Linked DNA regions of Mus musculus. The protein of the gene in region 1 interacts with the protein of each later gene in a biochemical or structural test. Links are inferred from orthologs where the notes say so. Each region holds a gene or a part of one and is shown on either strand. Other genes may lie near its edges.

What was found.
Region 2: the proteins of Esr1 (region 1) and Grip1 form a complex in vitro, tested with the Homo sapiens proteins (2 studies listed by BioGRID and IntAct). The link is inferred for Mus musculus from reciprocal best matches to the Homo sapiens genes ESR1 and GRIP1.

The regions. Positions count from the first base shown.
Region 1 is NC_000076.6:4,708,024-4,713,784, forward strand, and holds the start of Esr1 (estrogen receptor), read left to right. Parts: upstream 1-2,134; 5' UTR 2,135-2,271; intron 2,272-3,942; exon of another isoform or gene 3,943-4,088; intron 4,089-4,289; 5' UTR 4,290-4,360; coding exon 4,361-4,824; intron 4,825-5,761.
Region 2 is NC_000076.6:119,998,497-120,003,752, forward strand, and holds part of Grip1 (glutamate receptor-interacting protein 1), read left to right. Parts: intron 1-1,255; coding exon 1,256-1,442; intron 1,443-2,029; coding exon 2,030-2,175; intron 2,176-5,256. UniProt on the Homo sapiens protein: May play a role as a localized scaffold for the assembly of a multiprotein signaling complex and as mediator of the trafficking of its binding partners at specific subcellular location in neurons.

The sequences.
Region 1 (5,761 bases):
CATCAGGCTGAGGCATAGGCTACGTGTTGGGGGTGACAGACTAGCAAAGACAGGTCCAGGAGAGAGGAAGGGACTCTACTCTTAGAGAAGCTGGGATTTGGGGTAATGATGAAGGGGAGCCTGCACTTAGACAAGTGAGGTAAGAGGCCGCTGAAAAGGGATGGGCAATGCATGGGAAGGGAGCGTGCAAACTATGGGTTTGGGAGTTGTTTCTTGGATAACTATAGAAGGCATACGAGTGTCAGACAGAGACAGCGATGCTGTGTCCTGTGTCCGGAGTGAAGTGTTGGGTCGGGAGGAGAATGATGTTGGGTGTTTGGTCCAGAGTCTGCACTGGGCAGGAAAACAAGGCAGCCCATGTTCTCCCCTACACCTGGGCAAGCAGTACAGTGTGCTCAGCCTAGGACTCAGAGAGAAGAGGAGAGGGATGAGACTCCAAGAGAAAACAGGTGGCCAGAGTAGCGGTGCCGGGTGGTGAGTGGGGGAACCAAGATGGCGGCCATGCTTTCCGCCACAACCCCTGTCCCTGGGAGACAGAGTTTACTAAGAGGAGTCTGAAAGCTATTCCTGGAAATGCCTATCTTGAGATAGCTCAGGCTAACTGGAATTGTAAACTTCTCCACGGCCAAAGTCCCCTGAGATGATACCTGCCTTCTCATACCCTTCCTATGCAGATCTCCAGATGTCCAGATCTCTCTCTCTCTCTCTCTCACACACATATACACACACACCAACTTTCCTTGACTCATTTTCTTTCTTTTCTACCATCTCTCCTTCTTTTGTTACACAGTTTAGTTGGACTGGCTTGATGAGTGTGACATCATTGTTGACCTACAGGAGGGGCCCCTGTCATCAGGAGTCAACACTATTACCAACAAAGGGTTAGCAATCTTTTTTCCCCCAATATTTATTTATTTGTTTGTTCATCTATACAGTGCTAGATCTCAAACCCATGACTCCCCATATGCTAGGCAAATGCTTCATTACTCACACCGCAACTTCTCGATACTTATTTATATATTAGATATTTATGGTCATTGCTGATTGTTGAGGGAACTTGTCTAAGTCCCGATATAATGACCTTGAGTCTTTCCAAGCACAAAAACGTATAGTTGCAGCATGATATCATTAGTATTTTCTTTCTATTTCTTTCTTTGTACTGGCCCAAGTGCCACTCATATATCTCTTGGTAACTGCCTAGGGTCCTAGGGCTGGAGACCGGCCACTCCTGGCGTTGTGATTAGAGTCACTTAATACCTAAAGTAGTTACTAAACAACAAAGGCTCCTTTAGGCCTCCTGTGTCCTGGGACCCAGGGTGAGGACACAGTCAGAGTACCTTGTTAATCTGTGTTGTACTGTGGTGGAGAGAAGCACTGAGAACCAGGTGTATCCATGGGACAGCACTGGAGGTACAAGATCTCTGTCTGCAACCAATGCTGGTAACTACAGCTGTGAACGTGTAATCGCTTTAACGCAAAGCTATTTTATGGTTCCAACTTTACGATTAAAATAATGCCTCTTCTGGGATGTGTTTACAGACAGTAGTCAGTAGGCTATTGGTAGAGAGGCTGGTAGGTTTGACTAATGAAGTGAGGGAGTCTTGCATTTCAGTTGGAAACATATCCCTGGAATGCCAAAAATATTTATTGCGAAGTCTGACTTTTGTATGTTATTGGTAGCATTGTCACTGAGCATCTTATTCAGGGGAACAGTAGGGCTAGAGGGCTTGACTCATATGTATCCCAGAAGGCTTTTCTTGTTAAATGACATCGTTTAGGAAGAAGATATCCTGGCATAGTTTATAAACTTGATCTCTGCACACTTTGACTGGCATTCTAGTTTATCTGTGAGCCTGTGGTTCACAGCCATCTCAGTTTCCCTCTCCATAGAAAGCACCGGGACATTTCTGGCTCTACAGGTAGGGAGCAAAGGGGGCTGGAGTTTCTTCTAGGAATGCTGATTCTAGCGGGGCTACTGCTGTCCCTCAGCAGACAGCAAGGCTCCCGGACTCCCGCTGCCATTCATCCAGCTCGTGCAGGAGCCCAGCTGCCTTGTCTGCCGGGAGGGGCTGCCAAGTGCCCTGCCTACTGGCTGCTTCCCGAGAGTCCCTGCCACTCCACATACAAACACATCCACACACGCTCTGCCTTGATCACACACCGCGCCACTCGATCATTCGAGCACATTCCTTCCTTCCGTCTTACTGTCTCAGCCCTTGACTTCTACAAACCCATGGAACATTTCTGGAAAGACGCTCTTGAACCAGCAGGGTAGGATCGGCTTTTGATTTCTCTCTCTCTTTCTCTCTCTGTAGCTTGAGCGATTTGAGAAAGCAACTTACCTTTCTGCTTAGTGTCTGTCTCCTAGCTGGAGAAGGAAGCTGTGCTGTTTTTCTATGGGGGGAAATCTGTGCGGCTTTTTTTTTTTTTTTTCCCGCTTTCCGGACTTGTAGGATTCTCTGTGCCATTTATATATAATTTGGCAGGCTCAGATTTTTAAAGAGTCTCATCTGAAGTGCTTGCTTTTGCATGTGTTTTTTAAAAGGCATTTGAAAATTGAAAGTGTGATTTATGGGAACTAAATCATCTACGAAAAAATTGCTCTAGAAAGTCATGGTTGCTGGCCATAAAGAGAAATATCTGCGATTCACCTAATGTATTTTTAACCCTTCCTTTGCTGTCAATGATACTTATGGGTGCTAAAACTCATCTTTGTCTTTAGATTTAAGCCAGCTTAGCTGTGGTTTATCCAAAATTATCTGTTTTTCTAAGAATTAGATAAATAGTGTGCTTAGTAGAAAATATTTTTAAAGTGTTACTATTAGTAACAGCAACCTTGACATTTGCATGTGTCAGGTACTTCTCCTGGGTATATGGGCTAGCAATTCAAGTCATATGCTAATGGTTATTTTAGGGGATATTAGGTTGGGGCATATGCAGTTTATTAAGAAAGTACAAACTATCCAAGCTGCAATTTTTTTCTAAATTTGCAATAACAGGTGTGTGTGAGCTCAATCAGAATTTAATTCAATACTGAATAAAAAACTTATTTTAACTTCTCTGTCATTCGAGTATTAGATTCCTGTGTACCCTATGCCAAGGGAACCCAGAAGGTCCATTTGTAGAATTCAAGAGCTGAAAGGTAGGAGAGCCTTTCAAAAGTTTCTGGTTAGACAGACAAGGTTACCGGATCGCCAGAGCTTTAGTCAAGGACCTCAGGTGATATTTTATGGGAAAATGTCTTAGTCCTTGCATGGTTTTCCCAATTTTTGGTTGCATAACCTGTGGAAGGTAGGGACACCCAAGTGTGCCTAACCGAAGGTTTTTCTGAATCATATCCACATGAGAATTTCTAAAGGAAGCAAATTTGGCACCGGGGTCCAACAAAAACAGAAAAGCTAGGCTGGGCAAAATTGCCATGGCTGTGCTTTCTTGGGGAGCGTTTTAAAAAAATTATTATTTTTATTTTTTTGTCAGAAGAGGAAGCTGAAGGCTGGCAGTTTTCTCTTGACTCCAAGTGCAGCTCTTCCTATACATAGTCCATCTCCACTCGTCTGGCCCTAGATGCCTCCTATCTGTGTCCACTGGTGCTAAATATAGCTGTCGGTGGCTGGCTGCATATGCAATCACACACCCCATCCTATTTGCCATATCTCAGTTACAGATACAGTTACCGTCCCTCCAGGGTCATTCTATGCATACACTGCGTACTTCCAGCCAACAAGAAGACTGAATCAAATAGAAAGGAAGACAAAACAGAGACAGATTGGAGCTTGGCAGAGGCACACAGGCAACACATCAGGAAAAGAAAGAAAGAAAGAAAAAAAGAAAAGAAGAAAGAAAGAAAGAAAATGGCCTGTGGCTTAGTCTGCATTTGTTGCAAACCTAGTCTTCCTTGGGATGGGGGGAGTGGTAGGGGCGCGGCTCCTGGAGGTCCCTTTGCTGCTTTCACCCCCTGCAGCGAAATCCAGCAGCGAAGACCTGGAAAGTTAAGTTCAAGGAAGCTAGCGGTTCCTTGGGTGCACGCACAGTGTGATGTTCCCAGTAGTGCCTGGAAGCTGCAGCCCCTGGCCAGTGGCTTCCAGCAGGTTTGTCTAAGAGCAGAGGAGAGGAGTATGTAAAGTTGGAGAACCCGGGAGCGTCTGGGTGCGCTCCTTGGAGTTGGGTCACCTGTGTTCTGCAGGATAGCTCTGCCCCGCAGGGGCAGAGGCAGGGCCAGGGCCAGTACTCGTGCCAAGGGGGACTTGCGCTGCGCCTTCTCTAATCGCAGGCTCTACTCTTTTTTCCAGGTGGCCCACGCGCTGCTGAGCCCTCTGCGTGCGCGGGGAGCCAGTCTGTAACTCGCCGGCTGCCACTTACCATGACCATGACCCTTCACACCAAAGCCTCGGGAATGGCCTTGCTGCACCAGATCCAAGGGAACGAGCTGGAGCCCCTCAACCGCCCGCAGCTCAAGATGCCCATGGAGAGGGCCCTGGGCGAGGTATACGTGGACAACAGCAAGCCCACTGTGTTCAACTACCCCGAGGGCGCCGCCTACGAGTTCAACGCCGCCGCCGCCGCCGCCGCCGCCGCCTCGGCGCCGGTCTACGGCCAGTCGGGCATCGCCTACGGCCCCGGGTCGGAGGCGGCCGCCTTCAGTGCCAACAGCCTGGGGGCTTTCCCCCAGCTCAACAGCGTGTCGCCTAGCCCGCTGATGCTGCTGCACCCGCCGCCGCAGCTGTCTCCTTTCCTGCACCCGCACGGCCAGCAGGTGCCCTACTACCTGGAGAACGAGCCCAGCGCCTACGCCGTGCGCGACACCGGCCCTCCCGCCTTCTACAGGTACCCGCGCCACATCGGGGTGGCCGCTGTGTAAGGCCTGGCCGGGGGAGGGAGCGCACGAGGGGGGTCACCGCGGGCTGCAGGTCTCCCCATCCCAGCCCTCGGGGAAGTCAGAAAGGATTCTTTGGCAGCTTTAAAACAACAGTAACAACACAAACAACAACAACAACAACAACAACAGCAACAACAACAACAACAACAACAACATTCTCTGCCTGTAGCTGTCTTGTGGGAGAGACAGATCCAAACGGCCCTGTCCCCTAATTACACAAGAATTGGAAACTAGTCCAAAGAAGTTATTTATGGGGCAAGTAACCTAAAGGTCCAGGTGGCCTGTGCTAGCAAGGAACCCCTTTATTATTTAAAGCTGCAGGTGTTTGAGGCCAGTGGAGCCCAGGGGAGATTTATTAGTCTTTTTTGTTTGTTTGTTTTAAAATTGTTTCATTGTGTCGGGTTCAATGTTCTTTCAACTAGAGTTCTGGACTGGAAACACCCAAGGTTTACTGAAGAAGATAAGCTTTTAGGCAGAGCGGCCCGTGGATCTCTTTCCCTCTCTTCCCCATTTCTGGGTTCTGGATTGAGTTGCGGTTGCTCATAAATGCTGGTATGGGAGTTGAATGAATGGGTCTCAACAAGTTTTGATTTCTGGTCGAATTCGAGTTCGAGCAGATTGCTGGCATATGACTTCTGACAGCCGGGGATTTATAGGTGTCCCATGTGTTTACAACATATCACACTGAAACACCAGCACAGTAATTCCCCTACAGCTACATTTCATGCCTGGCCCAGCAGGCAGCGAATGCTCTGGAGTAGCACACGGGTTAGCTACGTCCGCACCCCCCACCCCCCAAGGCACTGTGCAAGAAGCCAGGGCAGTCCAGGACACAGGGGAATCCAGGACACAGAGACTCTTCGTGACCTAAGTGACAATTGTTTT
Region 2 (5,256 bases), about 120 Mb from region 1:
ACATTTCAGCGTGTGGGTCCCCCTTAACTCCTATGGCGTTGCACACCAGCAGTCCCAGGGTACAGAGATGCTGGGGAGCTGGGCCTCTGGTAACATGCATGGTGGTAGTGAGTATGACAGGTATGAATGGCTCCTACAGACTGGTTCAGAGGTCAGCTCATTTATTGGTTAGCAGGGCTAGATTATATAGCTCCATTCAGGGGGAGAAGGGAGGGAAAAGGACAAGGAGGAAGTGCTGGGGGCTCAGGAGCGGGGCTTCCAAGCATAGCAGCTAGATTAGCAAACTGCAAATCATGTGATCTCTGAGAAGCCAGTTTTCTGGCAGGGCTTTATCAGGATGTAACCTTTGTCTCTACGGAGTTTATTAGGCCCAAATCTGTTAGGGAGAGGCCCTACTCCTGCCATGCCCTCAGAAGGATGTCCAGGGTATGGGCAATGCTCTACCATTCCTCCTCTGGTTTGGGAACCCAAAAGCACAGAGCCCTTGAGGACAGATAGAGTGTTCAAACACAAGAGGCCAAACCTTGTAGACAGAGCAAAAAAAAGCATCTGGAAATCCTTACAAGATCAACACTGGGGATGAAAATAAGAGCAAGAGAGATGTCTGGCTCGAGGCGTCCATGAGTACCCAAGAAGTGAGTTAAATGGGAGGCAACAGGTGACTGGAGACTAAGCCAGAACAAAACATAGAAAAAGAAATTTGGGGCCGAGAGGATTGTATGAGATTTGAATGACTCACTGTGCCCACTCAGTACTGGAGAAAGACTGGGGACCAGCACAGCAGCAGCAGCATTCCTGGGGTCACAAAGATTGTTCCCTCCAAACAGAAAAGGTTGCCTTGTTCACAATCACAAGTGGTTGAAGTGGGGAAACTCAGACCCGCCGTCCCAGTTCGCCTTGCAGAAAGAATACGGACATGCAGAGATGGAAAGACCTGCCCCAACCAAGGTCTTCCTCGGTTGGTGCTCATTCATACAGCCCAGGACTAGATGAGATACCCTGACCCCCAGGCTATCCTCTTTTCACAGTCTCTTCCCAGTCTCTGGTGCACAGGGTGGCATCCCTGGTCCTGACTCCAGCATAACAAGCTGGGAGATGCATTTACCCTGTTCAGCTGGAACCCAACTCTTTTGCTGTTAGACCAGCATTTAAACTCCCTCCCTGGCAGAAAAGCTTCTGTTTAGACATATTCTAGTTTGGAAATGCTCATACCTGCTTGCACCTATGATCACTTTCTTCCCATTTGTTCCTCTAGTGTCTTTAGCCTCCAGCACTGTGGGGTTGGCTGGCCAGGTCGTTCACACTGAAACCACAGAGGTTGTGCTGACGGCTGACCCTGTCACGGGCTTCGGAATCCAACTGCAGGGCAGCGTGTTTGCCACAGAGACGCTCTCCTCTCCGCCTCTGATTTCCTATATTGAAGCTGACAGCCCAGCAGAGAGGTGAGCCCCCTTCCCGGAAGCTTTTCTGCCCTGTGTTTGTGACACCAGCTCTTTGAGAATAACTAATAAATTATGGAACAGGGCTCAGTGAAGGCAAGGCAAAATGTAATGAACTCTCCATTCTGATGATAAAATTTTATGTTCTTGATCAGGTTTCGGGAAAATTATGAGCCCGGGTGGTTTTATTTAGCCGATTTTGTCCATTGGAAAACTAGAGGCTGTATTAATTAGAAAGGAGACAAATCTATTCAAAAAAATGGCATAAGTTCAACTGAAGTTATATCTCTGCATTGCAGGAATGTACATTCATCTTTACTATCTGCTCATTCTGGTCAGATTATCATACTATTTAGTTATAAATTTTTAATTAATTCTCTGGGATACTTCAGAACCCCCTTGCCCACAATTGTAACTGGGATTCAAGAGTGCAGGGCATTGCAGTTGACCTAACATGCTTGCCAATAGCATCAGCTCAACAAGGTCAAATGGTTGTGCTATTTTGCAAAGATGAAATGAGGCAGGGTGGCCAGTCCAACCCCACGATCATCTTCTCTAACTCCTGCCTCTCACATGTGGTTCTGAACTAGATGTGGTGTGCTACAGATTGGAGACAGAGTCATGGCCATTAATGGAATCCCAACAGAAGACAGCACCTTCGAGGAAGCCAATCAACTCCTGAGAGACTCTTCCATCACGAGCAAAGTCACACTAGAAATCGAGTTTGATGTTGCAGGTAAAATCTGAGCCTTCCTTCAGTCAGTGATAGAGTCAGAAGACAGTCATATCAGCTATGGGACAGAAAGACACATCAGCTATGTGTGTATATATGTATATGTGTATGTATATGTGTGTATATATATATATTTAATCCATTCACCTGCCTTCATGTAGGTGAATGGATACAAGTCCAGTAGGTGAATGGATTCAAGTCCAGTAGGTGAATGGATGCTAGTCTAGTAGATGAATATTTGGTCTTTGGGATTAAATAGAATTATACCTGACTCTCATGAGGACTGACAAGGAGGACTCCAGGACTGTTTCTCTAGGGTCAAGAGGATTCTAATCGATGAGCAAAACCGTCTGTAAATACAGACAGGGAAGATAAAGATGGCCATGTGACTGATAACCAAGATGAGTGTATGAGAACCCCTGGGTAAAAACTACTAAGAGAAACCCTAGGTGACAGAGGCAGGGAGGGGAGTACAGATGTTGGCTAAAGTGACCCCGAGGTATTCTATTCTACTTTATTATTTTGCTCTCTTTTGGGGTGGGGTTGGTATACAAAATAATGGGTTTCTTATTCCATCTTATTCCATGCATGAACTTTGCTCATAATTACTCCCTACTACCCTTCCTATTTCTTGCTATCCTGTCTCACCCCCTCCCAAATAGACCCCTCTGTTTCCATGTCATTAGGTAAACAGGCAAACAGACAGACAGATGATAGATAGATAGATAGATAGATAGATAGATAGATAGATAGATAGATTGTAGTTTGATAGATAGATGATAGTTACAGATAGGTAATAGATGGTAGATAGATAGATAGATAGATAGATAGATAGATAGATAGATAGAAGATAGATGATAGATACTTGATAAATAGACTTAAATCTAAGTTCTACATATGACAAAGAACATATTTTGTAATTTTTCTTTCTCCCCACCTCTATCATTAATTCTCTTGTACCCCACCTTCCAGGAAGGTTCTTGGATCTTAGGCTAAGGACTTGTCTTAGTCTCAGAGGAGGAATCTAAAGGGAATTTTGGTCTTGGAGAGGTTGCCAAGCAGTAGCTAACAGAGCTTAGAATTTGATGCAAATTCCCATTTAAGAAAGTAATCAGCCGAGAAGGTAGCTCAGTGGTACACAGCTTGCCCAACGTGCACCATGGCCCTGGACTTTATACCCAGTGCCACTGAAGAAAGACGGAAGGAAGGGAGGGAGGGAGGGAGGGAGGGAGGGAGGGAGGGAGGGAGGGAGAGAGGGAGGGCGGGCGGGCTGCTCTTCACACAGCAAAGTGTTACCACTACATATCCAGGACCTTTTACCAATCAGAAGAGGCATGCCTTTAGAAACAGGGATCACACGCTACCAAACACTTGATATTGTGACTCTCTTGCACAGTGTAGATGAAATAGCAGGCAGGAAAGAAGAACATTTCTATCACCGTATAACCTTTAAGAGAAACAGAAATTTAATTTCAAAAGCTATTAGCATGAGTTTGTGTCTATAAGTTCTCTGAGGAAAATAAAGTAGAGAAGAAAGTCATTGGATGACTAGAGAGGAGCTGTTTCATAGGATGAGTCTCTTAGGAAGTGACATTCAAGCAGAGATTAATGTGCGGAGAAGGCATAAGCAAGGCAAGGGCCTTGAAGAACAGCCTTTCAGCTAGAGGGAGCAGTGAGCATGAAGAAGCTGAGCGAGAGGAGCTTCGCAGTACACATGGCTGCTGGGGTACATAGGGAGAGAGTAAGAGCAGGGGTTGAGTTTGTGTTTTGAGGAAGGGCTTGAAAATGTCAGAGTGTGGCAGGTGTGCAGCATCCTGGTAGACAATTTCTGTTGGGTCCCAAGTGTGCTGAAGCCAGGAGGCATTTTGGCAGGAGAACGAGATAATCTGAGTTATGTTCGGGAAAAGCCTTCTAAAATGTGGAAGGGAGACTGAAGAAACAACTTGGAGACTGTGGCAACTGAACAGATGGGGAATGTCAGTGGCTGACTAGAGACGGCGGCAAGGTAAAATTCAAAACTTGCCTGTGTCTTGTAATGTGTCTGTGTCATGTAATGGCTCTTGAGGCATGAGGATGGATAGATGAGAGACAGAGAGCGATGGTTACAAGAATAACCCTGGAAGAGGGTCATCTGGAGGCAGCAGTGAGAGTTCTATTTTAGATCCACAGTACCAGGTCCACTGATGACATGAGAGGGAATATACCAGCTTATGTGTGTCTTCATCCAGAAGAAAACCATGGGGCACAATTACTGCACTATATGCTGCTGTGTTCAAACCATGGGAAGAGAAAATAGGAAAGACCAGTGTATTTCCTGGAGAAGCTCACGGACAATCAGAGAAGAGAATGATGGCTGAAAGAGGAGGGACTTGCAGGGTTGTGTGGCTATCAGAATGTGGGAATAATACCTAGAGAAGTGTTGGAATTTCCCCTTGTATCCCGGGATGGGGGAATGAGGAGGGATATAAAGAAGGGCCAAGAAATGGCCAGTGGGTGACACACTTCCTCCAACAAGGCCACACCTTTTCATAGTACCACTCCCTGGGCCAAGCATATTCAAACCACCAAGGCCCCGTCTGTACTGTCTGTTTATCGCTCTCAGTTCTCATGGTAAAGTAGGGTTCTATTGTTCTTTAATCGGTTGGTGCATTTTGATTTTGTTGCTGTGTTTTGTTTTGTTGGATATTTTATCTGTGTGTATGGGTATTTTCCCTGCATGTATGTCTGTGTAGCACATACGTGCCTGGTACCTGAGGAGACAGGGAGCCTCCATATGGATGCTAGGCATCAAACCTGAGTCCTTTGCGAGAACAACAAGTGCTCTTAACCACTGAGCCAACTCTACCCCTGGTTTTGGTGGTTTTACGGAGTATTAGATACCAAAGAATAAAAGCAGAGAAATGGATTATCAGATGGAGCCAGAGTTTGAGACTTGCAGAGAAAGCTCAGCAGAAGGGCTTCAGTCAGGGAGGGTCGGGTTGTTGCTAGGAGATGATGAGCTGTGAAGCTGGTACAGAGACTGTCACCATGTGAGAGGTGCCTATGTTCTACCTGCTGCATAGCTAAGCCCTGTGCATCGTAGAT